Anolis sagrei: one gene and its partners. The protein of the gene in region 3 purifies or fractionates together with the protein of the main gene of each other region. This does not show direct contact. Links are inferred from orthologs where the notes say so. Each region holds a gene or a part of one and is shown on either strand. Other genes may lie near its edges.

Evidence for each region.
Region 1: the proteins of NFKB1 (region 3) and LRPPRC purify together in Homo sapiens (affinity purification with mass spectrometry; 3 studies listed by BioGRID and IntAct, with this or other methods). This does not show direct contact. The link is inferred for Anolis sagrei from reciprocal best matches to the Homo sapiens genes NFKB1 and LRPPRC.
Region 2: the proteins of NFKB1 (region 3) and NFKBIE purify together in Homo sapiens (affinity purification with mass spectrometry; 4 studies listed by BioGRID and IntAct, with this or other methods). This does not show direct contact. The link is inferred for Anolis sagrei from reciprocal best matches to the Homo sapiens genes NFKB1 and NFKBIE.
Region 4: the proteins of NFKB1 (region 3) and COPB2 purify together in Homo sapiens (affinity purification with mass spectrometry; 5 studies listed by BioGRID and IntAct, with this or other methods). This does not show direct contact. The link is inferred for Anolis sagrei from reciprocal best matches to the Homo sapiens genes NFKB1 and COPB2.

What each region holds. Positions count from the first base shown.
Region 1 is NC_090021.1:28,793,356-28,800,249, reverse strand, and holds the start of LRPPRC (leucine-rich PPR motif-containing protein, mitochondrial), read right to left. Parts: upstream 3,023-6,894; 5' UTR 2,886-3,022; coding exon 2,749-2,885; intron 1-2,748. UniProt on the Homo sapiens protein: May play a role in RNA metabolism in both nuclei and mitochondria. In the nucleus binds to HNRPA1-associated poly(A) mRNAs and is part of nmRNP complexes at late stages of mRNA maturation which are possibly associated with nuclear mRNA export.
Region 2 is NC_090021.1:48,185,554-48,193,327, forward strand, and holds the start of NFKBIE (NF-kappa-B inhibitor epsilon), read left to right. Parts: upstream 1-4,760; 5' UTR 4,761-4,914; coding exon 4,915-5,282; intron 5,283-7,774. UniProt on the Homo sapiens protein: Sequesters NF-kappa-B transcription factor complexes in the cytoplasm, thereby inhibiting their activity. Sequestered complexes include NFKB1-RELA (p50-p65) and NFKB1-REL (p50-c-Rel) complexes.
Region 3 is NC_090025.1:27,556,182-27,563,794, forward strand, and holds the start of NFKB1 (nuclear factor NF-kappa-B p105 subunit), read left to right. Parts: upstream 1-4,592; 5' UTR 4,593-4,928; intron 4,929-7,016; exon of another isoform or gene 7,017-7,032; intron 7,033-7,613.
Region 4 is NC_090023.1:229,602,803-229,609,936, forward strand, and holds the start of COPB2 (coatomer subunit beta'), read right to left. Parts: upstream 3,019-7,134; 5' UTR 2,908-3,018; coding exon 2,905-2,907; intron 519-2,904; coding exon 381-518; intron 3-380; coding exon 1-2. UniProt on the Homo sapiens protein: The coatomer is a cytosolic protein complex that binds to dilysine motifs and reversibly associates with Golgi non-clathrin-coated vesicles, which further mediate biosynthetic protein transport from the ER, via the Golgi up to the trans Golgi network.

The DNA of each region.
Region 1 (6,894 bases), on a different chromosome or scaffold from region 3:
GCCCTCTTATTGTCTACCTCAACACCTTTGATGACATTTCCAGCCCTGCTTACTGGATTATTGCACTTCCCATGCACTCCCTCCACTAAGTGATGTTTCTTTATCTCAGCCATATTGCTTGATGTTTGCTTACAATTGTGACTGTTTTTATATTTTCATATTTGATGTTTTAATTTGTTGTGTTTTATTGTAATTTTTGGGCTAGTCCCTTGTAAACCGCCCAGACTCTTCTAGGGGAGATGGTTGGCGGGGTATAAAAATAAAGTTATTATTATTATTTTCCTGCTTCTTGGCAGGGGGTTGGACTGGATGGTCCACGAGACCTCTTCCAACTCTATGATTCTATGATTCTAAGTCTGCCCATGACTGATCTACACTGTAGTTTTGGCTCACTTTAACTGTCATGGCTTCAGTGCTATGGAGACAGGAGCAGAATTCAAAACGATCTTAACAGATTAGAGATGGGCCAAAACTAACAAAATGAAGTTCAACAGTGACAAATGCAAGATACTCCACTTAGGAAGAAAAAATGAAATACGAAGATACAGAATGGGGGATGCCTGGCTCAACAGCAGTACGTGTGAAAAAGATCTTGGAGTCCTTATGGACAACAAGTTAAACATGAGCCAACTATGTGATATGATGGCAAAAAAGCCAATGGGATTTTGGCCTGCATCAATAGGAGTATAGTGTCTAGATCAGGGGTCCTCAAACTAAGGCCCAGGGGCCGAATACGGCCCTCCAAGGTCATTTACCCGGCCCTCACTCAGGGTCAACCTAAGTCTGAAATGACTTGAAAGCACACAACAACAACAATTCCATCTCATCAGCCAAAAGCAGCCCCACACTGCCTACTGAAATATGAATAAGTTTATATTTGTTAAAATTGTTCTTCATTTTAATCCTTGTATTAAAGTGTTTTTTGCACTACAAATAAGATACTGCAGTGTGCATAGGAATTCATTCATTTTTTTCCCCAAATTATAATCTGGTCCTCCAACAGTTTGAGGGACTATGACCTGGCCCTCTGTTTAAAAAGTCTGAGGACCCCTGGTCTAGATCCAGGGAAGCATGCTATTCCTCTATTCTGCCTTGGTTTGACCACACCTGGAATATTGTGTCCAATTCTGGGCATCACAATTGAAGAGAGATATTGACAAGCTGGAATGTGTCCAGAGGAGGGCAACTAAAATGATCGAGGGTCCGGAAAACAAGATCTATGAGGAGCGGCTTAAAGAGCTGGGCATGCTTAGCCTGCAGAAGAGAAGGCTGAGAGGAGACATGATAGCCATGTATAAATGTGTGAGAGGAAGTCACAGGGAGGAGGGAGCAAGCTTGTTTTCTGCTGCCCTGGAGACCAGAACAGGGATCAATTAATTAATTGATTAATTAATCTTTCTTTCTTTCTTTACTTACTTACTTACAGTATTTCTATACCGCTTTTCTCACCCCTAGGGGGACTCAAAGCAGTTTACACACATAACTGACAAAACTTCAGTACCATACATTGGACACTGACGCGATGTCAAACCATAACAACCACAATAATAAAACCACAATTAAACATAAATCATAATTAGACAGTACATTAGCAATCATTAAAACAATAAAGAATAAAAACAGTCTCGCCAGTCACATTGTCATTCTAGTCCATGTCCTTTAAACTCTACAAACATCTACTGTCCGAAGGCCTGATCCCAAAGCCATGATTTTAATTTATTTCTAAAACCCAGGAGAAAGGGAGCAGATCTTACCTCACTTGGGAGTGTGTTCCATAGGTTAGGGGCCACAGCCGAGAAGGCCCTGTCTCTCGTCCCCACCAGATGCATTTGCGCAACTGATGAGCGAGAGCAGGGCCTCCCCGGATGATCTTAGATTACGAGATGGGTAGTAGGGGTGGATCGGACAAGTAAGCTGGCCCAGAACCGTATAGAGCTTTATAGGTCAAAACCAGCACTTTGAATTGGGCTCGGAGATGGACTGGCAGCCAGTGGAGCTGGCACAACAGGGGAGTGGTATGCTCCCTGTATGTCGCCCCAGTTAGTAATCTGGCTGCCCCCCGTTGGAGTAGCTGAAGTTTCCGAACCGTCTTCAAAGGCAGCCCCACGTAGAGCGCGTTGCACTAATCTATTCGGGATGTAATCAATGGCTTCAAACTACAAGAAAGGAGATTCCATCTGAACATGAGGAAGAACTTCCTGACTGTGAGAGCCGTTCAGCAGTGGAACTCTCTGCTCTAGAGTGTCGTGGAGGCTCCTTCTTTGGAAGCTTGTAAACTGAGGCTGGGTGGCCATCTGTCAGGGGTGCTTTGCAATTTTCCTGCTTCTTGGCAGGGGGTTGGACTGGATGGTCCACGAGGTCTCTTCCAACTCTATGATTCTATGAGAGCTGTTCAGCAGTGGAACTCTCTGCCCTGGAGTGTGGTGGAGGCTCCTTCTTTGGAAGCTTTTAAACTGAGCTCTTCCAACTCTATGATTCTAAGTTTGCCCATGACTGATCTACACCGTTTGGGCCCACTTTAACTGTCATAGCTTCAGTGCTATGGAACCCACGTGGATCCATATTGGGCATTTGGGGAATGAAGGGATGCTCAACCTGTAGCAGCATTCAGGCAGGCATCGGCCAAGCCGAAACAGAGCAAAGGAAGATCAAAATAAAGGCCGCCCTCCTGACCTTCCCCTCCCTCTCACTCCTTTTCTCTTCACAGAGGCCTGCATGACCCTCAGAAGCCAGGCCAGACACACTCACCTGCAGGCCTTGCTGGAAGCCGCCGCTGAGGAGAGCGCCGAGGCCGGGGAGGAGGCGAGCGAGGCGGCGTTGTACCCGGCTCGGAGGGCCCGGAGGCCGGAGCGGAGCCACACAGCGGTCCTGAGGAGCCCGGCCATGGTGTTCACCTCAGGCACGCACCGGCCAAGGAGGAGCACGTGATTAGCGGCGGGCGAGCCCACTTCAGAACTCAACGTGGGGGGAGCGAGGAAGCAGCAAATGAGCGTCCCTTTCTAGCACTCGCGTTCTTTTACACAAAAGAGGCCTCTCACGCACTCCAAGTGTCGGACTGTATTTCTCTTTCCTCCCAAAACCCCTCAATGGACTCGCTGGGACTGCGTTTATTTTTTTTTAATCTCCCCCCATAATGGGAGAAAAATGGAACGGTCCGAAGCGAATAGCGTGGGAAAGCGGCAGCTTGGAGGCCAATTAGAACCCGAACCCGAAGTTGGTTTTTCTATTTCTAAAAGAAGCCACACAGTTCAAACCAAATAGAGAAGTTTGGAGAATTAATGTAAAATTACAGAAGAAAAAGGAAATATGAATGGCGCTTCTAGGAACACAGCACTAGAATGAAGGGATCCAACTTCGGGAAGGTTTTTGATTGGCCTCTTTGGAAGTCTCTTAAGAAACTCAAGGCCGGCTGTTTTGAGCATGCGCAGAACGTTGTGGAGTGCGCATGCGCAATTAAGGAAAAAGTTTTGAGTGGTAGGGAGGAAGTCTCTCTTAAGAAACTCAAGCCGGCTGTTTTGAGCATGCGCAGAAGAAGGTTGTGGTTGAACAGTAGGGAGGAAGTCTCTCTTAAGATCAAGGCCGGTTGTTTTGAGCATGCGCAGAAGAACGTTGTGGAGTGCGTATGCGCAGCTAAAGAAAAAGTTCAAAGAGTTCTGCATTGACCTCTTTGGAAGTCTCTTAAGAAACTCAAGGCCGGCTGTTTTGAGCATGCGCCAAAGAACGTTGTGGAGTGCGCATGCGCAGCTAAGGAAAAAGTTTTGATTAGTTCTGCATTGACTGTTATCCTTACCTTGAAGGATTAGTGCAGTTTGACACCGCTTGTTAAACAATGTCAAGCTGAAATCCCCATAGCTTTGGAGAAAAAAAGGTTTTGAATTAAACAATTAACAATTGTAAGAAAAACACAAATCTAGTGTGCATCTACACCAGGCATGGGCAAACTTCGGCCCTCCAGGTGTTTTGGACTACAACTCCCACAATTCCTAACCAGCTGTTAGGAATTGTGGGAGTTGTAGTCCAAAACACCTGGAGGGCCGAAGTTTGTCCATGCCTGATCTACACTAGAATTAATGCAGTTTGACACCACTTTAACTGCCATAGCTCAATGCTATGGGATCCTGGGAGTTGTAGTTTCACAGAGCCTTCCCCTGCCAAAAGGTACAACTCCCAGGATCCCATAGCTTTGATTATAGGGTGCAACTATACTGTACAGTTAATAGTTTGACACCACTTTAACTGCCATAGCTCAATGTTATGGGATCATGGGAGCTGTAGTTTCACAGAGCCTTCCCTGCCAAAAGGTACAACCTCCAGGATCCCATAGCTTTGATTATAGGGTTCAACTATACTGTACAGTTAATGCAGTTTGATACCACTTTAACTGCCATAGCTCAATGCTGTGGGATCCTGGGAGCCAGGCATGTAGCCGGGGGGGGGGGGGGGGGGGCTTGAGGGGCTTCAGCCCCCCCCCCCCCCCAAATTCTCATGGTGGTTCGCGAAAAGGCCTTACTGGTGCATTATTTAAACTGTTATGTTTATTCATCTCATGATCTGATCACCATACTCAATATATCCCATATGCATGGGGGTATTGGAGTAATGATACAAAAGGTTTGCTAGGGTAGACCCTCTTTCACTCAGACTCAGCCCCCCCCCCCCGGAAACTCAGCCCCCCCGAACCCCCCCTGAAAAAAAATCACCCCCCCCCCCCCCCCGAAACAAAATCCTGGCTACGGGCCTGCTGGGAGCTGTAGTTTCACAGAGCCTTCCCTGCCAAAAAAGTACAACTCCCAGTATCCCATAGCATTGATTATAGGGTGCACCTATACTATAGAGTTAATGCAGTTTGACACCATTTTAACTGCCATGGCTCAGTGCTATGGGATTCTGGGAGCTGTAGTTTCACAGAGCCTTCCCTGCCCAAAGATACAACTCCCAGGATCCCATAGCACTAAACCATAGCAGTTAAAGTGGTGAAAAATTGCATTAATTCCACAGTGTAGATCAAGCATGGCCAAACTTGGGCCCTCCAGGTGTTTTGGACTCCAACTTCCAACTTGTGGAAGTTGGAGTCCAAAACACCCGGAGGGCCAAAGTTTGCCCATGCCTGGTGTAGGTGCACCCTAGAATTATGTTTAATTTGTTTTTACGATTATTGTTTAATTGAAAACTTTTTTATTTTGTTTTCCAAAGCTATGTGGATTTTGTATTAACATTGTTTTTTAAACTTTCATATTTTGATCACATATATGGGCCAATTTGCTTTGTATCATTTTTGATTGTTTTGTTTGTTTTAGAATATATATTTCTTGCATTTTATCAGAATGGTTTGTTTTGCAGTTATCTGTATGGTTTCCGATTTGTTATTTATGGTTGTGTGTCTACACATACATTTTAGATTGTATGCCGTCAACAGGACCCAGTTTCTCATTTTAATGCACTTTATAAATAACACTATGTAACACGATTTTTGTTCCTGGGTTATAAATGTCACTTCCTAATTGGTTCTGTCATAAAAACATAGTAAAACACTTCTTTTATTTGAGCCTTGATTTTTTTCTTGTAGGGGGAATTAATTCTCAACTCAACTTTACTTTTTTGTCTTACTGCTCAGCTGTCCTGGCCAGACCCTAGAGAGCCTCCCCAAATCTGCCCCCAATGCTGTCACCACTTCTTGAACCTTTGTCGCTGCCTCCCAGTAGCTGGTTTTTGTTGCTGCCATCACCTGAAGCCCCATCTTCACTGCCATGTAATGCAATTTTAGAATGCAGATTAAGGACTTCATCCCATGGGTTTAGGGCTCCGTTTCAATGCGCTTCAGAAATGGAGTACCACAGGAATCCCACAGAGGCCATTACATGGCATGGGAGCACTTCCAGTGAGACTCATTGGGGCTCCATTTCCACAGTGCATAGAAACAAGAGCCCAAACTCATCTTCAGGAGTCAGGTATTATCCAACTCGGAATGGAGAAAAGCGGGAGAAAGACAGGCATCAATGTAGTAAGGATCTCAGATGGCTGGCCATCCCAGAAGATGGTAAAGGATCAGAGGAAACGGGTAAGGCGGTTCCCTCCACTTTCCCCTCTCTTGTGGGATGAATTCCTAACTGCACTGAACAGTGTAGGCTTACATAATCCAGTTCAATGCAGTTCAGTCTACATTATATGAGTCTACACTGCATTATTTGGCAGTGTACATGGGGCCTTGGTAACCCTGGGTTTGTTTTGAAGGAAGAAGATCCTTCTGAGAGCTGGAGTTGTGTGGTTCATTGGCAGTGATTTGGGTTGCAGGAGGCAGGGCTTTGAGGTTTTCTCTTTGTGGACTTTCTTCATCAGCTGGTTCTGGTTCCCTGGCTCGAATCAGCTGGGAAAGCTGTGCTACTTCTGTCATTCTTCCTCAATCCTGCTTGTGCCTTTGGGAGTGGAACCAGCATCAGTGAGGGGAGGGAGACGGAAGGAAGACCGTGCCTCCCCATTGCTTCTCCAGTTGCCACCTCTTCACACTCCTGGGACACAGGGCTTCCTCCCGTCTCCCCATCCCCTCACCACTGCTATGTCCACTCTTGATGGTGGCAATCAGGACAAAAAAAGCCAGAGCAGTTGCACAAGTTTCCCAGCTGCTCTGAGCCGACAAAACCACATGGCTCCCACTCTCTCAGCCAACTCTCCTGGCCCTCTCCCTTTGCTTCTCTTCTCCATTGCAACCTCCAGAGAGCAAAAGAGAGACCATGCAGTTTCCACTATCTAAGCCCCTGCCAACCCCAATCCTCACCCTTCAAAACAAACCTGGGGCAATGGCAGTGACAAAGAGTGGCAGCTGCAGGAGGCAGTGACTGTATAAAAGATGCAGGGCTGGGGAGACAGCAGCAGCCTTAGGTATTGGGGAGGTTTTGT
Region 2 (7,774 bases), on a different chromosome or scaffold from region 3:
GATCTTAGAACATTCTCAAGCCGCCTGTCAATTTATGGTGGCCTCACAAATTTCATAGGGTTTCCTTAGGCAAGGAATTCTTAGGTATGTTTTGTCAGTTTCTTCCTCAGAAATGCAGCCTGCAGGTAGTTGGTAGTGATATCTTGTCTAAGTACTAACCAGAGCTGACTTTGCTTAGCTTCCAAGATCAGAGGGCATCTGGTGCATTTTCAAAACAGATGAAGAAATGTGTGATAGGCTCTTGTAATCTTCATGTTGGAACATCTGCAATGTTAGTAAGAGCTGTATTGCTGATCCATGCCCATTCCCCATAGCTATTTTAATTTAAATTTATTGAAATTGAAGGATCCCCTCCAGCAGACATTGGGTTTCTATTTGCAGCACAAGGCATGTCGATACTCAAACATAGTGCTGGTATAGTTCAGTGAGTAAAATACTCTAGATGTGTTTACTTCTGTAACAAAAAATTTGGTACCAGAGGCAAAAATAATATGGAAAGAGCAGAGATAGGCTCTTATCCACATGTTTCAGCAAACCTTTTATTCAAAATGTAGTATGTGTACATGGAAAATAAAACAACTATGTCACATCTATCTTTCATAAGTCAGAAAAAGTATTTGGAAACATCTAAAAGTTTTGAAGATAAATAACATTGTATTCTTTTTTAAGAGGCTGCTTAATTAGATACAGTGCTGCTGAACAAATTGAAGCTGTTTCGATATCTTCTTGGGAATGGCAATTTTCTATCACCATAATCAAGGAGGATGTATAAAAAGTTACCTTTTGAATTACAACTCCCAGAATCCCCCAGCCAGAATGACCACTATTTGCAGCCCAAAAACAATGTTTTTGAATTCTAGCATCAAGCTAGTTTTCCATTAAAGATAGCTGATTCAGTCAGGATAAAAAAGCCCAGGTATTTTAATTAATTAGTCATTAACAAAGTTATTGGAAGAGAGAATAATTTTAATGCTCACACAAAGCAATTTTGCTTCTTTCCTAGGTGAAAAATGTCATATATCTGCTTTATGTGATATATTTTTAAAACTTGGTGTATAATTAAGAACCATATGTTGTCGTTTGGAATATTCTATGTATTTAATCTTGGTTTTAATTTTTTTGTAGATTGGTAGTGCCTGTGTTTGTGTTTTACAGAAGCAATCTTCTGCTTACAGGCAAATTTCACAATCTGTTCATCAGTAAATCACTGAGAAAGTAACTATCGGAAATGCAGCCCTGAAGAATTATGTGGTCACTTTTGGCAGCAGCGATGAGTGTTTTCTCCAGAAGTAGCAGTGAGCATGACCCCACATAACTGAGTCACCTCAAGTTACATTCGGATTTCTTTTTCTTGGAAATGCAAAATACAGGCTGAAGTTTCACTCATAGCAGGATTTATTCCAGTGGTATATTGGAGCCAGGATGTAACAGAATCCATGCATTGCAACTTTATGATAAGAGAGAAAGCTAACCTTAAAAGCTGTGGCACAGACACCAAGAACTGGGAAGCCCTGGCCCTTGAGTGCTGTAGCTGGAGGCCACTATTACCAACAGTGCTGTGGAATTCAAAGAGGCATGAATGGAGAGCGATAGGGAGAAATGTGTCAAGAGGAAGGCTCCTCAAGCAAATCCCCAAGGCTCTACTGGAAGTCAATCATACTGGGCCAGGAGGGATTGCAGATGATAATGGTTTTATTTATCATATCAGGAGCAAACCAAAGGTACAGTTGTAATGTATTTTTTTTAAAAAAAAACACAGTTTAAAAACTTGGCAGTTATCCAAAACATAATCTAGGGCCGTTCCATTTGTCAATTACATTTATTCGTAGTCACTGCTCCAATTACTTGTCAAAATCTTGGTCCCAAAGCCATGTCTCACCACTGGGACCACCTTGACTGGCTTGTGCCAGAGTCTTAACAGTTCGATCTTTAAATCCTCATATTGTGTCAGCTTTTCCAGTTGTTTCTCTTCAATCCTGCTGTCACCTGGGATTGCAACATCGACAATCCATACTTTGCTTTTTAACACAATCGTGAGGTCAGGAATATTGTACTCCAAAACTCTGTCTGTCTGAATTTGGCTATAATAGCAGTTTATGACAGTTCGGTGTGTGGCGTTGAAAATTTCTGCCACTTCTGTAGTTGTTTTGCTTCCAGTTGCCCTACAGGCCGATGCCCTGGTTGCTCAGTAGCGGGTCCTGGTTCCTGTAGCCCACTTGTTGTCGGGTGCCCAGGAGAAGCACTTGTCGCGGTCCTTATTATCCTGGGTGATGACCAAGCCAGTATAGACTTCTTTAGAGTTTGTTTCACCATATTTAAATGGGTTGGGTGCACTTAGTTCTACTTCTCAGTTGAGACCACTCTGGCTTGGTTGAACCTGCTGGTAATTTTATTTACTTACTTATTTACTTAGGCCATCCCTCATTGGCCGAGTAGGATAGTCTTCCAGGATCAGTGTTCTGGTGGGTCTGTAGGTGACTGTGGAACCCTATTCTTGATCTGTATCTTCTCCCGCAGTGAGGGCATTAGTTTCCAGGTGGAAGGCGGTCTCGGTCGGGGTTGGCTTGACGTGTCTTCCTCTTGGCATGTTTCTCTCTTTCACCCTCCATTCGTGCCTCTTCAAATTCTGCAGCACTGCTGGTCACAGCTGACCTTCAGCTGGAGCGCTCAACGGCCAGGGCTTCCCAGTTCTCCGTGTCTATGCCGGAGTTTTTAAGGTTGGCTTTGAGCCCATCTTTGAATCTCTTTTCCTGTCCACCAACATTCCATTTTCTGTTCTTGAGTTTGGCGTAGAGCAACTGCTTTGGGAGATGGTGGTCGGGCATCCGGACAATGTGGCCGGTCCAGCGGAGTTGATGGCGGAGGACCATCACTTCAATGCTGGTGGTCTTTGCTTCTTCCAGCACGCCAACGTTTGTCTGCTTGTCTTCCCAAGAGATTTGCAGGATTTTCCGGAGGCGGCGCTGATGGAATCGTTCCAGGAGTTGCATGCGACGCCTGTAGACAGTCCACGTCTCGCAGGCGTATAGCAGGGTTGGGAGGACAATTGCTTTATAAACAAGCACCTTGGTCTCCCTACGGATGTCTCGGTCTCTGCTTCATTCGGAGAAATGCTGCACTCTCAGAGCTCAGGCGGAGTTGTATTTCGGTGTCAATGTTGACTTTGGTGGAGAGGAGCCTGCCAAGGTAGCAGAAGTGGTCAACATTTTCTAATGTTACACCATTAAGCTGTATCTCTGGCATTGGAGAAAGGTTGGCTGGTGACTGCTGGAACAGCACTTTGGTTTTCTCGATGTTCAATGACAGGCCGAGCTTCTCGTATGCTTCTGTGAAGGTGTTTAGAGTGGCTTGTAGATCTTCTTCTGAATGTGCACAGATGACATTGTCATCAGCATACTGAAGTTCTAAAACAGATATTGCTGTAACCTTGGTTTTGGCTTTACACTACTACCAGCACAGCTCCCAACATCATAGAAGCAGTTAAGCCCCCCCCCCCCCCCGCCAATGACAAGGTGGCACCCGATGGGGGGATTATTGTTGTTGTTGTTTCTCAAAACCATGAGAAAGAGTAGGTTCTTGTGGGTTTTTCCGGGCTATAGGGCCATTTTCTAGAGGCATTTCTTCTGACGTTTCGCCTGCATCTATGACAAGCATCCTCAGAGGTAGTGAGGTCTGTTGGAATTAGGACAATGGGTTTATATATCTGTGGAATGGCTGGGGTGGGGCAGAGAGCTCTTCTCTGCTGGAGCTAGGTGTGAATGTTTCAACTGACCACCTTCATTAGCATTGGAAGGCCTGGCTGAGCCTGGGAAAATCTTTTGTTGAGAGGTGTTAATCTGTGCCTGGTTGTTTCCTCTCTGCTGTTTTGCTGTTGTAATTTTAGAGTTTTTTAATACTGGTAGCCAGATTTTGTTCATTTTCATGGTCTCTTCCTTTCTGTTGAAATTGTCCACATGCTTGTGGATTTCAATGGCTTCTCTGTGTAGTCTGACATGGTGGTTGTTGGTGTGGTCCAGCATTTCTGTGTTCTCAAATAATATGCTGTGTCCAGGCTGGTTCATCAGGTGCTCTGCTATGGCTGACTTCTCTGGTTGAAGTAGTTCCCTTGATGTATAGCAGGAACACTTTTCCTCTGGGTGGACCTTCATCAGCCTGGACACAGCATATTATTTGAGAACACAGAAATGCTGGACCACACCAACAACCACCATGTCAGGCTACACAGAGAAGCCACTGAAATCCACAAGCATGTGGACAATTTCAACAGAAAGGAAGAAACCATGAAAATGAACAAAATCTGGCTACCAGTATTAAAAAACTTTAAAATCACAACAGCAAAACAGCAGAGAGGAAACAACCAGGCACATCTTAACACCTCTCAACAAGAGATTTTCACAGGCTCAGCCAGGCCTTCCAATGCTAATGAAGGTGGTCAGTTGAAACATTCACACCTAGCTCCAGCAGAGAAGAGCTCTCTGCCCCACCCCAGCCATTCCACAGATATATAAACCCATTGTCCTATTTCCAACAGACCCCACTACCTCTGAGGATGCTTGCCATAGATGCAGGCGAAACGTCGGGAGAAATGCCTCTAGAAAATGGCCCTATAGCCCGAAAAAACCCACAAGAACCTAGTGATTCCAGCCATGAAAGCCTTCGACAATACAGGAGAAAGAGACTCCTGGTGGTTCCAGCGTTGGCTCCCACTTCTGGCCGCAAGAGGGCGCGGGCGGGCCTTCCCTCGGAGGGAGGCGGGTCTCGGTGCTGCCTGGGCGGAGCCTGCTGGCGCTGGCTCGGCGGACCTGCAGCTTCGGTGTTTCCCTCCGCGAAGGCGCTCTTGTCCTCGGCATGCGGCGCCTTCCTGCTTTCTTTCCCGGGCCTTTCCTCCGCTGAGCGCCTTCCTCCCCGGCTGCCATGGCGTCGTCGTCGTCGTCGAGGGCGGCGGTCCGCTGCTCCTCTCTGGAGGACGGGCAGTTCGACTCGGGCCTGGGCTCGCTGCGCTCCTTGCAGGGCCCGCTGGGCGAGGGCGAGGGAGAGCCCCCTTCCCCGGCTCCCCGAGAGGCCCCTCCGGGCAAGGAGGCGCCCGCCGAAGCCGACGAGAGGCTGGACTCCAGCTACGGCTCTGCCTCCTTAGTCGAGGCCTTGGCGGCGCTGAAAAAGACCCCCGAGAAAGAGGAGGAGGAGGAGGAGGAAGGAGAAGAGGTGGATGGGCCCCAAGGAGAAGAACGCCTCAGGCAGCAGCTGCTGGAGACCTTCACCTTCGTCTCAGAAGAAGGAGATACGTGAGTGACAACACTCCCCTCTCCTCCCCAATTTTAAGTCCCATTGCCCTTGTCTTTCACATCATTGGGCATCATGGCTAGAACTGATGGGAGTTGTGACACAGCAACATCTGGAAGGCTGCAGTTTGTCCTGTAGACTCAGGATAGTTTTGACTTCAGATCCAAGGCTTCTGCATGGCCTGCCTGATGTTCAAATGGGCTTTAACTTTGCATTGTCGAAGGCTTTCATGGCCGGAACCACTGGGTTGTTGTGTTCCAGAAGCATTCATAGAATCATAGAGTTGGAAGAGACCTCATGGGCCATCCAGTCCAACCCCCTGCCAAGAAGCAGGAAAATTGCATTCAAAACACCCCCGACAGATGGCCATACAGCCTCTGTTTAAAAGCTTTCAAAGAAGGAGCGTCTACTACACTCCTGGGCAGGGAGTTCCATTGCTGAACAGCTCTCACATAGAATCATAGAATCATAGAGTTGGAAGAGACCTCATGGACTATCCAGTCCAACCACCTGCCAAGAAACAGGAAGATTGCATTCAAAGCACCCCCAACAGATGGCCATCCAGCCTCTGTTTAAAAGCTTCCAAAGAAGGAGCCTCTACCACACTCCGGGGCAAAGACTTCCACTGCTGAACAGCTCTCACAGTCAGGAAGTTCTTTCTCATGTTCAGATGGAATCTCCTCTCTTGTAGTTTGAAGCCATTGCTCCATGTCCTAGTCTCCAGGGAAGCAGAAAATAAGTTTGCTCCCTCCTCCCTGTGACTTGCTCTCACGTATTTATACATGGCTATCATGTCTCCTCTCAGCCTTCTCTTCTTCAGGCTAAACATACCCAGCTCTTTTAGCTGCTCCTCATAGGGCTTGTTCTTCAGACCCTTGATCATTTTAGTCATCCTCCTCTGGACACATTCCAGCTTGTCAATATCTCCCTTCAATGATAGTCATGTATAAATATGTGAGAGGAAGTCACAGGGAGGAGGGAGCAAACTTGTTTTCTGCTTCCCTGGAGACTAGGATGCGGAGCAATGGCTTCAAACTACATCTGAACATGAGAAAGAACTTCCTGACTGTGAGAGCCGTTCAGCAGTGGAACTCTCTGCCCCGGAGTGTGGTGGAGGCTCCTTCTTTGGAAGCTTTTAAACAGATGCTGGATGGCCATCTGTCAGGGGTGATTTGAATGCAATATTCCTACTTCTTGGCAGGGGGTTGGACTGGATGGCCCATGAGGTCTCTCCCAACTCTTTGATTCTATGATTCAATTGCGGTGCCCAAAATTGGACACAATATTCCAGATGTGGTCTATCCAAGCCAGAATAGAGGGGCAGCATGACTTCCCTGGATCTACACACTATATTCCTATTGATGCAGGCCAAAATCTCATTGGCTTTTTTTTGCCGCCACATCACATTGTTGGCTCATGTTTAACTTGTTGTCCACGAGGACTCCAAGATCTTTTTCACACGTACTGCTCTCAAGCCACGTGTTTCCCATTCTGTATCTTTGCATTTCATTTTTTTCTGCTTAAGTGGAGTATCTTGCATTTGTCTCTGTTGAAGTTAATTTTGTTAGTTTTGGCCCATCTCTCTAATCGGTTAAGATCGTTTTGAATTCTCCCCTGATGTTTCACCTGCATCTATGGCAAGCATTCTCAGAGGTTGTGAGGTCTGTTGGAAACTAGGAAAATGTGGTTTATATACCTGTGGAATGGCCAGGGTGGGAGAAAGAACTCCTGTCTGCTCGAGGTAGGTGTGAATGTTGCAATTGGCCACTTTGATTACCATTGAATGGCCTAGCAGTTTTCAAGGTCTGGCTTCTTACTGCCTGGGGGAATCCTTTGTTGGGAGGTAATTAGTTGGCCCTGACTGTTTCTTGTCTGGAGTTCCCCTGTTTTTGAATGTTCTTCTTTATTTACTGTTATGATTTATTTATTTATTTACTTTGCTTATATACCGCTGTTCTCAGCTCGAAGGCGACTCACAGCGGTTAACAAACAGTAAAAACAGCAGTAATTCGATGCAACATAAACAATTAACTTAACACATTATCCCCTAATAACAATAAGCAATTAACATACACAATTATTACAATAACCATGTCCAATCGTCTCATCATCCAAGCATAGATTTAGAGTTTTTTAACCCTGGTAGCCAGGTTTTGTTCATTTTCATGGTTTCTTCCTTTATGTTGAAATTGTCCACATGCTTGTAGATTTCAATGGCTTCCAGGCAATTAAATGTTAATCAAGGTGACCAACTGAAACATTCACACCTACCTCAAGCAGACAAGAGTTCATTCTCCCACCTGGGACATTCCACAGCAGCCGGGGGGGGGGGGGGGGGCTTGATGGGCTCCCCCCCCCCCCAAATTCTCAGGGTGGTCCGCGAGAAGGCCTTACTCTGGTACATTATTTAAACTGTTATGTTTATTCATATCATGATCTGATCATCATGCTCAATATATCCCATATGCATGGGGGTATTGGGATAATGATATAA
Region 3 (7,613 bases):
ATCCAAGTTTTTAGTCTTCTTCGGAATACCATCAGCGAGGAGACTGATCTTACCTCCATGGGAAGGGCGTTCCAGAGCCGAGGGGCCACCACAGAAAAGGCCCTGTCTCCCGTCCCCGCCAGCCGCACCTGTGAAGCAGGCGGGATAGAGAGCAAGGCCTCCCCAGAAGATCTTAGGGTCCTGGTGGGCTGATAGGCCGAGATACGTTCGGATAGGTAGGTTGGGCCAGAACCGTTTAGGGCTTTAAAGGCCAACGCCAGCACTTTGAATTGAGCCCGGTAGCAAATCGGCAGCCAGTGGAGCTGGTGCAGCAGAGGAGTTGTGTGCTCCCTGTGCTCCGCTCCTGTTAGTATCATGGCTGCCGACCGTTGGACTAATTGGAGCTTCCGAGCCGTCTTCAAAGGCAACCCCACGTAGAGAGCGTTGCAGTAGTCTAAACGGGATGTAACCAGAGCGTGGACTACCGTGGCCAAGTCAGACTTCCCAAGGTACAGGCGCAGTTGGCGCACGAGTTTTAACTGTGCGAATGCTCCCCTGGTCACCGCCGAAACCTGGGGTTCCAGGCTCAGCGATGAGTCCAGGATCACACCCAAACTGCGAACCTGCGTCTTCAGGGGGAGTGCGACCCCATCCAACACAGGCTGTAACCCTATACCCTGTTCGGCCTTGCGACTGACCAGGAGTACCTCTGTCTTGTCTGGATTCAATTTCAATTTGTTCGCCCCCATCCAGACCGTCACAGCGGCCAAGCACCGGTTCAGGACCTCGACAGCCTCCTTAGTGACAGGTGGAAAGGAGTGACAGAGTTGGACATCATCTGCGTACAAATGACATCGCACCCCGAAACTCCGGATGATCTCACCCAGCGGCTTCATGTAGATGTTGAACAACATGGGAGACAATATTGAACCCTGAGGAACCCCACAAGACAAAGGTTGTGGGGTTGAGCAGGAGTCCCCCAGTAACACCTTCTGAGACCGACCCTCGAGGAATGAGCGGAGCCACTGTAGAACAGTACCTCCAAGACCCATTCCCGCGAGGCGTCCCAGAAGGATACCGTGGTCGACGGTATCGAAGGCCGCTGAGAGGTCCAGCAGCACCAACAGGGACACACTCCCCCTGTCGAGCTCCCGGCGCAGATCATCGACTAAGGCGACCAAAGCTGTCTCGGTACCATGCCCCGGCCTGAAGCCAGACTGTGCCGGATCCAGATAATCCGTGTCTACCAAGAATGCCTGGAGTTGTGAGGCCACCACACGTTCCATTACTTTGCCCAAAAAGGGGAGATTGGAAACAGGCCGATAGTTGACGAATTGAGTGGGGTCCAGTGATGGTTTCTTCAACAGCGGTTTTATCACAGCTTGCTTTAAGCTGGCTGGAAATATGCCTTCCCGAAGGGAGGCATTAACCACCACCTTCACCCACTCGGCCAATCCCCCTCTGGCCTCCTTCAGAAGCCAGGATGGGCAGGGGTCTAGGATGCATGTGGTAGCTCTCATTCCTCCAAGCACCATGTCCACATCCTCGGACATACTTGACAGATGCAACTGTCTTTTGGGCTGCATAGGTCAACAGCAAGCTAGACTATTAATGGTAAGGAGTTCACTTTGACCCGGGCTGGATTTGAACTCATGACATTTGGTCAGTAGTGATTTAATGCAGCTGGCTATTAATTAGTTGCGCCACAGCCGGATCCCTGGAGGCTAGGACACGGAACAGTGGCTTCAAACTACAGGAAAAAGAAATTCCACCTGAACATTAGGAAGAACTTCCTAATTGTGAGAGCTGTTCAGCAGTGGAACACTCTGCCCTGGGGAGTAGTGAAGGCACCTTCTTTGGAGGCTTTTAAACAAAAGCTAGATGGGTTGTTGTAGGTTTTTTCAGGCTATATGGCCATGTTCTAGAGCAGTGTTTCTCAACCTTCCTAATGCTGCGACCCCTTAATATAGTTCTTCATGTTGTGGTGACCTCCAACCATAATTTTTTTTGTTGCTATGTCATAACTGTAATTTTGCTAGTTATGAATCATAATGTAAATATCTGATATGCAGGATGTATTTTCATTCACTGGACCTAATTTGGCACAAATATCAGATACGCCCACATTTGAATAATGATGGGGTTGGAAGGGCGCGGGGGTTGATTTTGTCATTTGGAAGTTGTAGATGCTGGGATTTATAGTTCACCTACAATCAAAGAGCATTCTGACCTCCACCAATGATGGAATTGAACCCAACTTGGCTCACAGAACTCCCATGACCAATAGAAAATACTGGAGGGGTTTGGTGGGCACTGACGTTGAGTTTTGGAGTTGTAGTTTACCTATATCCAGAGTGCACTGTGGACTCAAACAATGATGGGTCTGGACCAAATTTGGCACAATATGCCCAAATGTGAACACTGGTGGAGTTTGGGGGGAAAGACCTTGACATTTGGCGTGTTGTCATTGCTGGGATTTATAGTTCACGTACAATCAAAGAGCATTCTGAACTCCACCAATGATGGAATTGAACCCAACTTGGCACACAGAACTCCCATGACCAACAGAAAATACTGGAGGGGTTTGGTGGGCACTGACGTTGAGTTTTTGAGTTGTAGTTCATCTACATCCAGAGAGCACTGTGGACTCAAACAATGATAGATCAGGACCAAACTTGGCACGAATACTCATTATGCCCAAATGTGAACACTGGTGGAGTTTGGGGGGAAAGACCTTGACATTTGGTGTGTTGTCGTTGCTGGGATTTATAGTTCACGTACAATCAAAGAGCATTCTGAACCCCACTGACAATAGAATTGGGCCATACTTCCCACACAGAACCCTTGGCTCACAGAACTCCCATGACCAATAGAAAATACTGGAAGGGTTTGGTAGGCACTGACATTGAGTTTTGGAGTTGTAGTTTACCTATATCCAGAGTGCCCTGTGGACTTGGCACACAGAACTCCCATGATCAACAGAAAATACTGTGTTTCCTGATGGTCTTTGGCGACCCGCTTGACACGCCCTCGCGACCCCCCCAGGGGTCCCGACCCCCAGGTTGAGAAACACTGTTCTAGACGCATTCTCTCCTGACGTTTCACCTGCATCTACAGCAAGCATCCTTAGAGGTAGTGAGAAGCTAGATGGCCATCTGTCGGGGGTGCTTTGATTGTGCTTTTCCTTCATGGCAGAGTGTTGGACTTCATGGCAGAGTGTGGTCACTTCCAACTTTATTATTCTGTGTCATCATGGGAGTTGTAGCTTCACAAGCCTTCTCTGCCAAAGGGTGCTGGTGGTACCTCACCAAACTACAAATCCCAGTCCAAGTGGATCCAAAGCGAGAACGTAGAAAGCTCTTAGACTTAGATGAAGGGCAGACGACACCAAATTGGGACGGATAGCCAATAGTCCAGAGGACAGGAGCAGGATTCAAAACGATCTTGACAGATTAGAGAGATGGGCCAAAACTAACAAAATGAAGTTCAACAGTGACAAATGTAAGATACTCCACTTTGGCAGGAAAAACGAAATGCAAAGATACAGAATGGGGGACAATGCCTGGCTTGAGAGCAGTACATGTGAAAAAGATCTTGGAGTCCTCGTGGACAACAAGTTAAACATGAGCCAACAATGTGATGTGGCGGCAAAAATAGCCAATGGGATTTTGGCCTGCATCAATAGGAGCATAGTGTCTAGATCTAGGGAAGTAATGCTCCCCATGCTCTATTCTGCCTTGGTTAGACCACACCTGGAATATTGTGTCCAATTCTGGGCACCACAATTCAAGAGAGATATTGACAAGCTGGAATGTGTCCAGAGGAGGGTGACTAAAATGATCAAGGGTCTGGAGAACAAGCCCTATGAGGAGCGGCTTAAGGAGCTGGGCATGTTTAGCCTGAAGAAGAGAAGGCTGAGAGGAGACATGATAGCCATGTATAAATATGTGAGAGGAAGCCACAGGGAGGGAGCAAGCTTTTTTTCTGCTTCCTTGGAGACTAGGACGCGGAAGAATGGCTTCAAACTACAAGAGAGGAGATTCCATCTGAACACGAGTGTGAGAACCGTTCAGGAGTGGAACTCTCTGCCCTGGAGTGTGGTGGAGGCATCTTCTTTGGAAGCTTTTAAACAGTGGCTGGATGGCCATCTGTCAGGGGTGATTTGAATGCAATATTCCTGCTTCTTGGCAGAATGGGGTTGGACTGGATGGCCCATGAGGTCTCTTCCAACTCTTTGATTCTATGATTCTATGAGAGGAGATTCCATCTGAACACGAGTGTGAAAGCCGTTCAGGAGTGGAACTCTCTGCCCCGGAGTGTGGTGGAGGCTCCTTCTTTGGAAGCTTTTAAACAGAGGCTGGATGGCCATCTGTCAGGAGTGCTTTGAATGCAATATTCCTGCTTCTTGGCAGGGAGTTGGACTGGATGGCCCATGAGATCTCTTCCAACTCTTTGATTCTATAATTCTAAGGCCTGAATGAAGGAAGGCCTGAGGGAGGAGAGCAAGCACTTTTGAGGCCTTCTTTCTTTCTTTCTTTCTTTCTTTCCTTTCTGTCTTCCTTCCTTCCTTTTCTCAGCAACGTCAGTGGGAATTTCCAGCGAGGAAGTGAGAGGGCGTGGAGGGAGGAGGGGAGGCTGCGTGTTTCTTCCGCGGAGGGAGGAGGAGGAGGAGGCCGCGCTTGGCGGGAGTCGCCTGCCTGCCTCCTTCCTCTCCTCCTCTCTCCTTTCATTTCGCTTTCACACCAACGACCAAGCCCGAAGCAGCGGGGCCGGCCTGCTCCAATCTCTCCCTCACACACTCTCTCTCTCTCTCTCACTCCTCGAGGCGCCTCCTCCTCCTTCAGGCTCTTCTGGATTTGTTCTTTTTGAGCCCACCAGGACTTCTCTCCCTCTTTCCCTTCAAACCAGGACTATCCTGAGGTTCAAGAAGACCATTTCCAAGTCCTGAGGTGAGTGATGCCCAGGGAACACAACAGGCCACCTGACTGGATAGTGTTTGAATGTGATGACTTGGTGTTTCAGTATTATTTACATATTGTTATTATTATTTCCAAGTCCTGAGGTGAGTGAAGTGGAGGGAATACAACAGGCCACCTGACTGAGTTGTGTTTGAATATTATGATTTGGTGTGTCAATATTATATTGTTATTGTTATTTCCAAGTCCTGAGATTAGAGATTTTTAGCATTCTTATCTGGTGTTTTAATATTATTATTTTCTTCATCCTATTATTATTGTTGTTGTTGTTGTTGTTCCCAAGTCCTGAGATTAGTGATGTCCAGGGAATATAACAGGACACCTGACTGAGTTGTCCTTTAATATTATTTGGTGTTTTAGTATTCTTATATAGTGATTTAATTTTCATATTCTTCTTATTATTATTATTATTTCCAAGTCCTGGGGTGAGTGATGTGGAGGGAATATAACAGGACACCTGACTGAGTTGTCTTTTAATATTAGTTTTTGGTATAACAATATTATATTGTTATTGTTATTTCCAAGTCCTGAGATTAGTGATGATTTAGCATTCTTATCTGGGGTTTTAATATTATTTTCATATTATTATTATTATTATTATTATTATTATTATTACTATTGTTGCCAGGTCCTGAGATTAGTGATGATTTAGCATTCTTATCTGGTGTTTTAATATTATTTTCATATTATTATTATTATTATTATTATTATTATTATTACTATTGTTGCCAGGTCCTGAGATTAGTGATGTTTTAGCATTCTTATCTGGTGTTTTAATATTATTATTTTCTTCTTCTTATTATTATTATTACTATTGTTGCCAAGTCCTGAGATTAGTGATGTCCAGGGAATATAACAAGACACCTGATTGTGTTTTGATATTATTTGGTGTTTTAGTATTCTTTCCTGGTGTTTTAATAGTATTTTCATATTATTGTTATTATTATTGTTATTATTTCGAAGCCCTGTAGTGAGTGATGTCCAGGGAATATAACAGACCACCTGATTGTGTTTTGATATTACTTGGTGTTTTAATCATATTTTCATATTATTATTATTATTATTATTATTTCTTCCAAGTCCCGAGGTGAGTGATGCGGAGGGAATATAACAAGCCACCAGATTAAGTTGTGTTATATATTATGATTTGGTGTATTATTATTATTATTATTATTATTATTATTATTATTATTATTTCAAAGCCCCGTAGCAAGTGATGTCCAGGGAATATAGCAGGCCACCTGATTATGCTTAAATATTATTTGGTGTTTTAGTATTCTTAAATGGTGTTTTAATTTAATTTCATATTGTTATTGTTATTGCCAAGTCCTGTGGTGAGTGGTATCCAGGAAATACAACAAGCTACCTGACTGAAAAGTTTTTCAATATGATGATTTGGTGTTTCAGTATTATTTACATATTGTTATTATTATTTCCAAGTCCTGAGATCAGTGATGTCCAGGGAATATAACAGGCCACCCAATTGAGTTGTGTTTAAATATTATTTGGTGTTTTAGTATTCTTATCTGGTATTTTAATTGTATTTTCATATTATTATTATTATTATTATTATTATTATTATTATTATTTCCTAGTCCTGAGGTGGGAGGGAATATAACAAGCCACCAGATTAAGTTGTGTTTTAATATTATGATTTGGTGTATTGTTATTGGTGGCGCAGTGGGTTAAAGCACTGAGCTGCTGAGCTTGTTGATCGAAAGGTCACAGGTTCGATTCCAGGGAGCGGCGTGAGCTTCCGCTGTTAGCCCTAGCTTCTGCCAACCTAGCAGTTCGAAAACATGCAAATGTGAGTAGATCAATAGGTACCGCTCCGGCGGGAAGGTAACGGCGCTCCATGCAGTCATGCCGGCCACACGACCTTGGAGGTGTCTACGGACAACGCTGGCTCTTCGACTTAGAAATGGAGATGAGCACCACACCCCAGAGTCAGACATGACTGGACTTAATGTCAGGGGACTACCTCTACCTACCTATTATTATTATTATTATTATTATTATTATTGTTGTTGTTGTTTTGTTGTTGTTATTGTTATTATTATTATTTCCAAGTCCTGAGGTGAGTGATGTAGAGGGAATATAACAGGCCACCTGATTGAGTTGTCTTTTAATATGATTTGGTGTTTTAGTATTCTTATCTGATATTTTAATATTATTTTCGTATTGTTGTTGTTGTTGTTGTTGTTTCCAACTCCTGTAGTGAGTGATGTCCAGGGAATAGAACAGGCCACCTGATTTAGTTGTGTTTTAATATTGTGATTTGGTGTTTTAATATTATTTTCATATCATTATTATTATTTCCAAGTCCTGTGGTGAGAGATGTGGAGGGAATGTAACAGGCCACTTGATTGAGTCGTGTTTTAATATGATTTGGTGTTTTAATAGTCTTATCTGGTGCTTTAATATTATTTTCATGTTGTTGTTGTTGTTGTTGTTGCCACGACCTGTAGTGAGTGATATCCAGGGAATATAACAGGCCACCTGATTGAGTCGTGTTTTAATATGATTTGGTGTTTTAATAGTCTTATCTGGTGTATTATTATTATTATTATTATTATTATTATTATTATTTTCAAGTCCTGTGGTGAGTGATGTCCAGGGAATATAACAGGCCACCTGACTAATATAACTCATTTTATA
Region 4 (7,134 bases), on a different chromosome or scaffold from region 3:
GTCTGAAAACAAAGATTAGACCTTACATTACTAATTTATGCAAATGTCTTTTAAAACCACCTAGACATGAAAAGCCACATTAAAATTTAGAATTTTCAGAAAAAGAAATAACTTACAAAAAAGTAAAAAAAAATGCTAAGGGAGAAACACTTACTTAATAAATCTTGGTCAGGGAATTAACTGAGAAAATGGCATAAGAAGTGAAATTATATCGATGTAATCGAGAAAGATGCTGTAATTGCTGTTAAATTTGGGGAAAAAACCACCACTGTGATTTTGACAACAGAATTCTTGCACCACATTTAATGGTGACCTCACATGTAGTAGCACACTAAAAAAACTATGGTTTTATAATCAACAAGTCTTATATGAAATCTTACCTGTGTTTCATGATTCCAGACACAGACACTGCCATTGTAAAGACTAGCCAACATCCATGGCTCTGTAGGATGTAAGTCTACACTTTTCACACGGTCAGATCGAGCTGTGAGCTTACGCTTTATATCAAGTCGGAGAGGCTAAAAAGAAGACAGTTGTTTAAGATATTTATGTCACAAGAAGGACCAATTCGAAACAACCAGTGATATTTATACAAGAGACACATTGCTTTGACCTCAACACAGTCAAAATCTTTCAGATATTGGCTTGAGTAACTCAAGAATCCATTCCAAACCAATACATACTACAAACGTGAACACATCTTTACTAGTCTCCACTGAAATATTCTTATGCAAAGCAAACATGCTGCCATATATCCATACTAAAGAGCTGGAGACTGTTTTGAATGCAAGATTTTTGCAAATATGAAAACTGTTAAGGAGAGATCCAAGATCTGGACGAAGGAGGCTACTGCCATTTTATAAAGTGGAACAGATAAAAAGGCAATATCATGTCCTTCATAAACTATGCACAACTTATATTAAAGTATAGAAAGGGAATGAAGAAGCATCAAGGGGATAGCTGTAATAAGTTAAAAATAGGCTAAATGTTCCTTAAGAACATTTATTTTTGTTTACAACAAAAAATATTAAGTTCATTTCAGACCTGTTGCTAACCACAATTGACAGGTCTGGACAAAATGAGCCACCACACATTCTTGACTGCTGGAGGTATTAATAATTATTGTTCTTTCTTAGGAAATGTGAATTAAAGCAAGAACTCAAGCATTTCCCTGAAATTGTACACATCCACAGATTAGTGGATCAAACAATAGATTGTGTAAACTCAGAGAATTTGCTTCTTTTGTTGCAACTTACTGAGTTGCTGCTTTCACTAAGATATTCACCATGACACATATTTGGGTCTCTACCTCACGAGGGCAGAATTGCGGGTTCTGAAATTTTAAAAAGTGGATTCTGATAAACCATTATGAAGACTTTCTTTTTACGTACACTTTTCGGACAGCAGAATGTTTCCAAAAGCAGTTGGCTCACCTTCATTAGAGATTTCTAATCAGAGATCAGTTGGTCATTTATTAGGGATGCTGTAATAGATGCTGCATCTCCAAGACAGAGTAAGGTATCATCCTTTCTAAAACACTGAATTGTGACTGTGCCCTCCAAAAAACTCTTTCCTGGTTAGCCACAACCAATTCTAACCCTATTGTGGGAGTTGATGTCCAAAACATCTGGAGGGCCCATGTTTGCCCATGCCTGATCAACAGTGTAGAATGAATGGAGTTTGATACCACTTTAACTACCATGGTTAGATGCTGGATGAGGCTTTTTAGTCTTTTCTGTTAAAGAATGCTGATGCCCTATCAAACTAAAACTCCCATGACTCCATTGCATTGAACCATAGTGTCAAACTGCATTCATTCTATGCTGCAGATGCCCCTAAGGGCCCTCCCACACAGCCCTATATCCCAGAATATGAAGGCAAAAAAAAAATCCCACATTATCTGAGTGTGGACTCAGATAATCCAGTTCAAAGCAGATATTGTGGATTGGGTTGTTGTAGGTTTTTCGGGCTATATGGCCATGTTCTAGAAGCATTCTCTCCTGACATTTCACCTGGATCTATGGCAGGCATCCTCAGAGGTTGTGAGGTCTTAGAATCTTAGAATCATAAGAGTTGAAAGAGACCTCATGGGCCATCCAGTCCAACCCCCTGCCAAGAAGGAGGAAAACTGTATTCACAGCACCCCTGACAGATGGCCATCCAGCTTCTGTTTAAAAGCCTCCAAAGAAGGAGCCTCCATGACACTCCAGGGCAGAGAGTTCCACTGCTGAACAGCTCTCAGTCAGGAAATTCTTCCTAATGTTCAGATGGAATCTCCTTTCTTGTAGTAGTAGCAGTAGTAATTTTATTGATTAGCCCTTAGGCCATATCACAATAAGAAACAGAACAACAAGGCCTTGTAGTTTGAAGCCATTGTTCTGTGTCCTAGTCTCCAGGGCAGCAGAAAACAAGCTTGCTCTCTCCTCCCTATGACTATGTCTCACATATTTATACATGGCCCTCATCATGTCTCCTCTCAGCCTTCTCATCTTCAGGCTAAACATGCCCAGCTCTTTAAGCCGCTCCTCATAGGGCTTGTTCTCCAGACCCTTGATCATTTTAGTTGCCCTCCTCTGGACACATTCCAGCTTGTCAAGATCTCTCTTGAATTGTGGTGCCCAGAATTGGACACAATATTCCAGGTGTGATCTGACCAAGGCAGAATAGAGGGGTAGCATGACTTCCCTGGATCAAGACAGGTCTTGTGGGATTTCCTGTGGGACATAGTGGGATTTCCTGGCTTGATATTCTTGGACATAGGGCTGTATGGAAGGGCCCTTAGAAAGGCCTTTCTCTCCCCCTTTCCCTCCCCAAACATCCATCCCTGCCCGAGGAAAAGGAGGGGCTCTGCAGAATGCCAAGCCAAGGCCCGTCTTGAGGAGGCCTTCAGGAGCCTGGACTCACCATGGCTTCAGCTCCCGCTCAGGGCTGCTTCAACCTCCCGAAGCTCCCAGGTTCGCTCACTGCCCAATTCACCGACGTGGAGCTTCCGGCTTTGGCTGTTCTCGCGAGAAATCCAAGCCAACGCGAAAACGCCAACTCAATCACTTCCGCCCAGTGCTCTTCGTTTGCGGAGGGAGGGAGCGAAAGAGACACAATAGATCTACGAAACGTATAGACTGCCCATTCATAGGGTTATTGAGGTTCTCCTTTTGGAATTATTATTATTATTATTACTAGCCATCCCCTGCCACGCGTTGCTATGGCCATGTCTAGTGATCTGGGAAATAAAGTAACGAGAAAGTGTTGGTTTCTAATACATGTAATTTCTTTATGCTTGTGGGTAAACAGTATTTCTTGTTGTTTCTTTGTCAGTGTTGATGTGGAGAGTGTCTGATTTGCCTTCTCTGGAACATGCAACATATAATTGTCCTTTTTTAGGGGTCCCTTTCAAATCTATGATACTATATTTGATACTATATCTCTCTGTGTGTGAATCATATATATATATATATATCTACATCTATGGCTGGATGGCTCTTTGTCAGGAGGGCTTTGATTATGTTTTCTTGCCCTGGTGAAGGGAGTTGGACTGCATGGCCTTAAGTATTTTTTGTTGGTCATGGGGGTTCTGTGTGGGAAATTTGCCCCAATTCTGTCGTTCGTGGGGTTCAGAATGCTCTTTGGGACCTTGACTCCCAAATGTCAAGGTCCCAACTCCCAGTAACTACAACTCCCCCAAGCTCCATCTGTGTTCCTAGTTGGGCATATGGAATATTCGTGCCAAGTTTGAACATTATGAACATTACATTTTTATTTATATAGACCAGACGTCCCCTCCCATGCATTGCTATGGCTCAGTCTTGTGATCGGGAAAATAAAGTAATGAGAAAGTGTTGGTTTCTAATATATGTAATTTCTTTATGCTTGTGGGTAAACAGTATTTGATTATGTTTTCTTGCCCTGGTGAAGGGAGTTGGACTGGATGGCCTTAAGTATTTTCTATTGGTCATAGGGGTTCAGTGTGGGAAGTTTGCCCCAATTCTATTGTTCGTGGGGTTCAGAAAGTTCTTTGATTGTAGGTGAACTGTAAATCCCAGTAATTACAACTCCCAAATGTCAAGGTATATTTTCCCCAAGCTCCATCTGTGTTCCTAGTTGGCCGTATGGAATATTCGTGCCAAGTTTGGTCCAGAGCTATCCTTGTTTGAGTCCACAGTGCTCTCTGGATGTTGATGTACTACAACTCCCAAACTCAACGCCAATGCCCAGCAAACCCTTCCAGTATTTTCTGTTGGTCATGGGAGTCCTGTGTGCCACGTTTGGTTCAATTCCATCATTGGTGGAGTTCAGAATGTTCTTTGATTGTAGGTGAACTATAAATCTCAGCAACTACAACTCCCAAATGACAAACTCTATTATTTTTTTTTTGAGTGATGGTCACTCCTTGGGTTAGTAGGTGCCTTGTGGCCAAATTTGGTGGCAATTAATCCAGTGGTTTTTTGAGTTATGTTAATCCCACAAACGAACGTTACATTTTATATAGATTACTAGCCACCCCCTGCCACATGTTGCTGTGGCCCAGTCTTGTGATCTGGAAAATAAAGTAAAGAGAAAGTGTTGGTTTCTAATATATGTAATTTCTTTATGCTTGTGGGTAAACAGTATTTCTTGCTGTTTCTTTGTCAGTGTTGATGTGGAGAGTGTCTGGTTTGCCTGCTCTAGAGCATACAACATAGAATTGTCCTTTTTTAGGGGTCCCTTTCAAATCTATAGTTGTGTGTGTGTGAATCATATCTATATCTATGGCTGGATGGCTCTTTGTCAGGAGGGCTTTGAGTACGTTTTCTTGCCCTGGTGAAGGGAGTTGGACTGGATGGCCTTAAGTATTTTCTGTTGGTCATGGGGGTTCTGTGTGGGAAGTTTGCCCCAATTCTATTGCTAGTGGGATTCAGAATGCTCTTTGATTGCAGGTGTACGATAAATCCCAGTAACTACAACTCCCAAATGTCAAGGTCTATTTCCCCCAAGCTCCATCTGTGTTGGGCATATGGAATTCCTAGTTGGGCATATGGAATATCCGTGCCAAGTTTGGTCCAGATCCATCATTGTTTGAATCCACAGTGCTCTCTGGATGTCGATGTACTACAACTCCCAAACTCAATGTCAATGCCCAGCAAATCCTTCCAGTATTGTCTGTTGGTCATGGGAGTCCTGTGTGCCATGTTTGGTTCAATTCCATTGTTAGTGGAGTTCAGAATTCTCTTTGATTGTAGGTGAACTATAAATCCCAGCAACTACAACTCCCAAATCACAAACTCAATTTTTTTTTAGTGATGGTCCTTGGGTCACTAGGTGTCTTGTGGCCAAATTTGGTGTCAATTCATCCAGTGGTTTTTGAGTTATGTTAATCCCACAAACAAACATTACATTTTATTTATATAGATAATAATTATTATTATTTTACTGTTTTACTGTATTCATCAAGAGCTGTCTTTTCCCCCAAGGAACTATTTAACAGCTTCATGACATCCATACTTAGCTGGAAGCAAGTTCCGCTCAAGGTGAAGAATTCTTTTAAATTCAAAACCATTTTATGCCCTATTGATTCTTCCATTTCCTTCTGTACCTTATTATAAAATTTTTGTACTCTGTCACATTTCCACCAGTATAGGAGCCATTTTTTCCACATCTGTGCCAACCCAATTTTGAGGTTGATTTAGTTATGTGTGCTAATTTAATTGGGGTTCTGTACCATTTAGTCAATATTTTCCTTTGTGTTTCTCTAATCCTTATGTACTTGATATGTTTAATTGAATTGATTGATCCAGTATTCAGTGTCTGAATCATTGTTATTCAGGTCCTCTTTCCATATCTCTACCAATATTTGTTTCAATTTATATCGATTTCCAACAAATTTCTTGTATATTAAACCCATCAGGCCTTTCTCCTTTTCTAATTTTAACTTTAAAATTAGATCAAAATCTGTTTCTGGGCCTTCATTTTTCCTCCAATTCATGATCCTTTGTTTCAGTCCATTCCAAAGAAGCCAGTTACAATGACAACAATTGTCCATAATTGTCTCATCTGGGTTTAGGAAATCTCTTATCAATTTTTATCCATTTTGTTTTAAATTTGTAGGCTGTTAGGAATTGTGGGAGTTGAAGTCCAAAACACCTGGAGGGCCAAAGTTTGCCCATGCCTGCTCTAGATCATCTTAACAGTTCTACTACTTTTTCAAGAAACTTTTGTATACCTGTGTTGTCCTATTACTGGGTTTTTTGTTATCTGCTTTTTATTTTTAAACTTCTGTCTTTCAGTGTGATTGTTGCACACAGGCACACAAACGAATTTCTAATTCATGCTTACAGCACATACTGCATTTTATGTTTGAATTGTAGAATGATCACAATGGTGTCATATCATTGCACAACTGGGACAAACCCTGCGGTTTGTGTTAAATAATGTATTTCAACTTTGCCTTTGATGAGCCCTAGGCTATACTTGTAAGGCTTAATCTTAGCTATTATGCTTTGTAGTTTAAATAAATTCCTCTGAATCCAGTGGACTGGGAATAAAGCTACTATTTTACATACATATAGCCTGAATATGATCTATTGAAAACAGTGAGACTTTCTTCTGAGTAGCTGTGCACAAGATTTTATTTTTTTTCCTTATTTTTTTATTTAACAGTTGAAAATCTTCATTAGGTAGAGTCATTGCAGTAGTGTCATTTCGTAAAGACATTTTTTGAATTCAGCAGGAGCAGAACTTGTTTCAAAGTGTTATCTGATCCTTTTTATAAAAATGTAACAAGATTTTTAGAGAGATAACATGGAAGTTGTATCAGTCTTAAGAGTGGCTTCCACAATCATTAGAACCGACAGTCAAGGATTCTAGGATCCAAAATTCAACACTGTAGAACCCACAGCTTAGTACCACTAATCTAACAGTTCACTCCAAGGGTGCATCTACACCAGTGGTTCCCAGCCTTTGAGCCTCCAGGTGTTTTTGACTTCAGCTCCCACAGTTTCTAACAACTGGTAAGCAGGCTGGGATTTCTGGGAGTTGAAGACCAAAACACCTGGCGGCCCAAACCATTGAGCTACACTGAACAATTAATGAGAGTTGTAGTTTTACAAGGTCTTTAGCCTTCTAAAGAATGCTGGTGCCCAAACAAACTGCAGCTTTCGA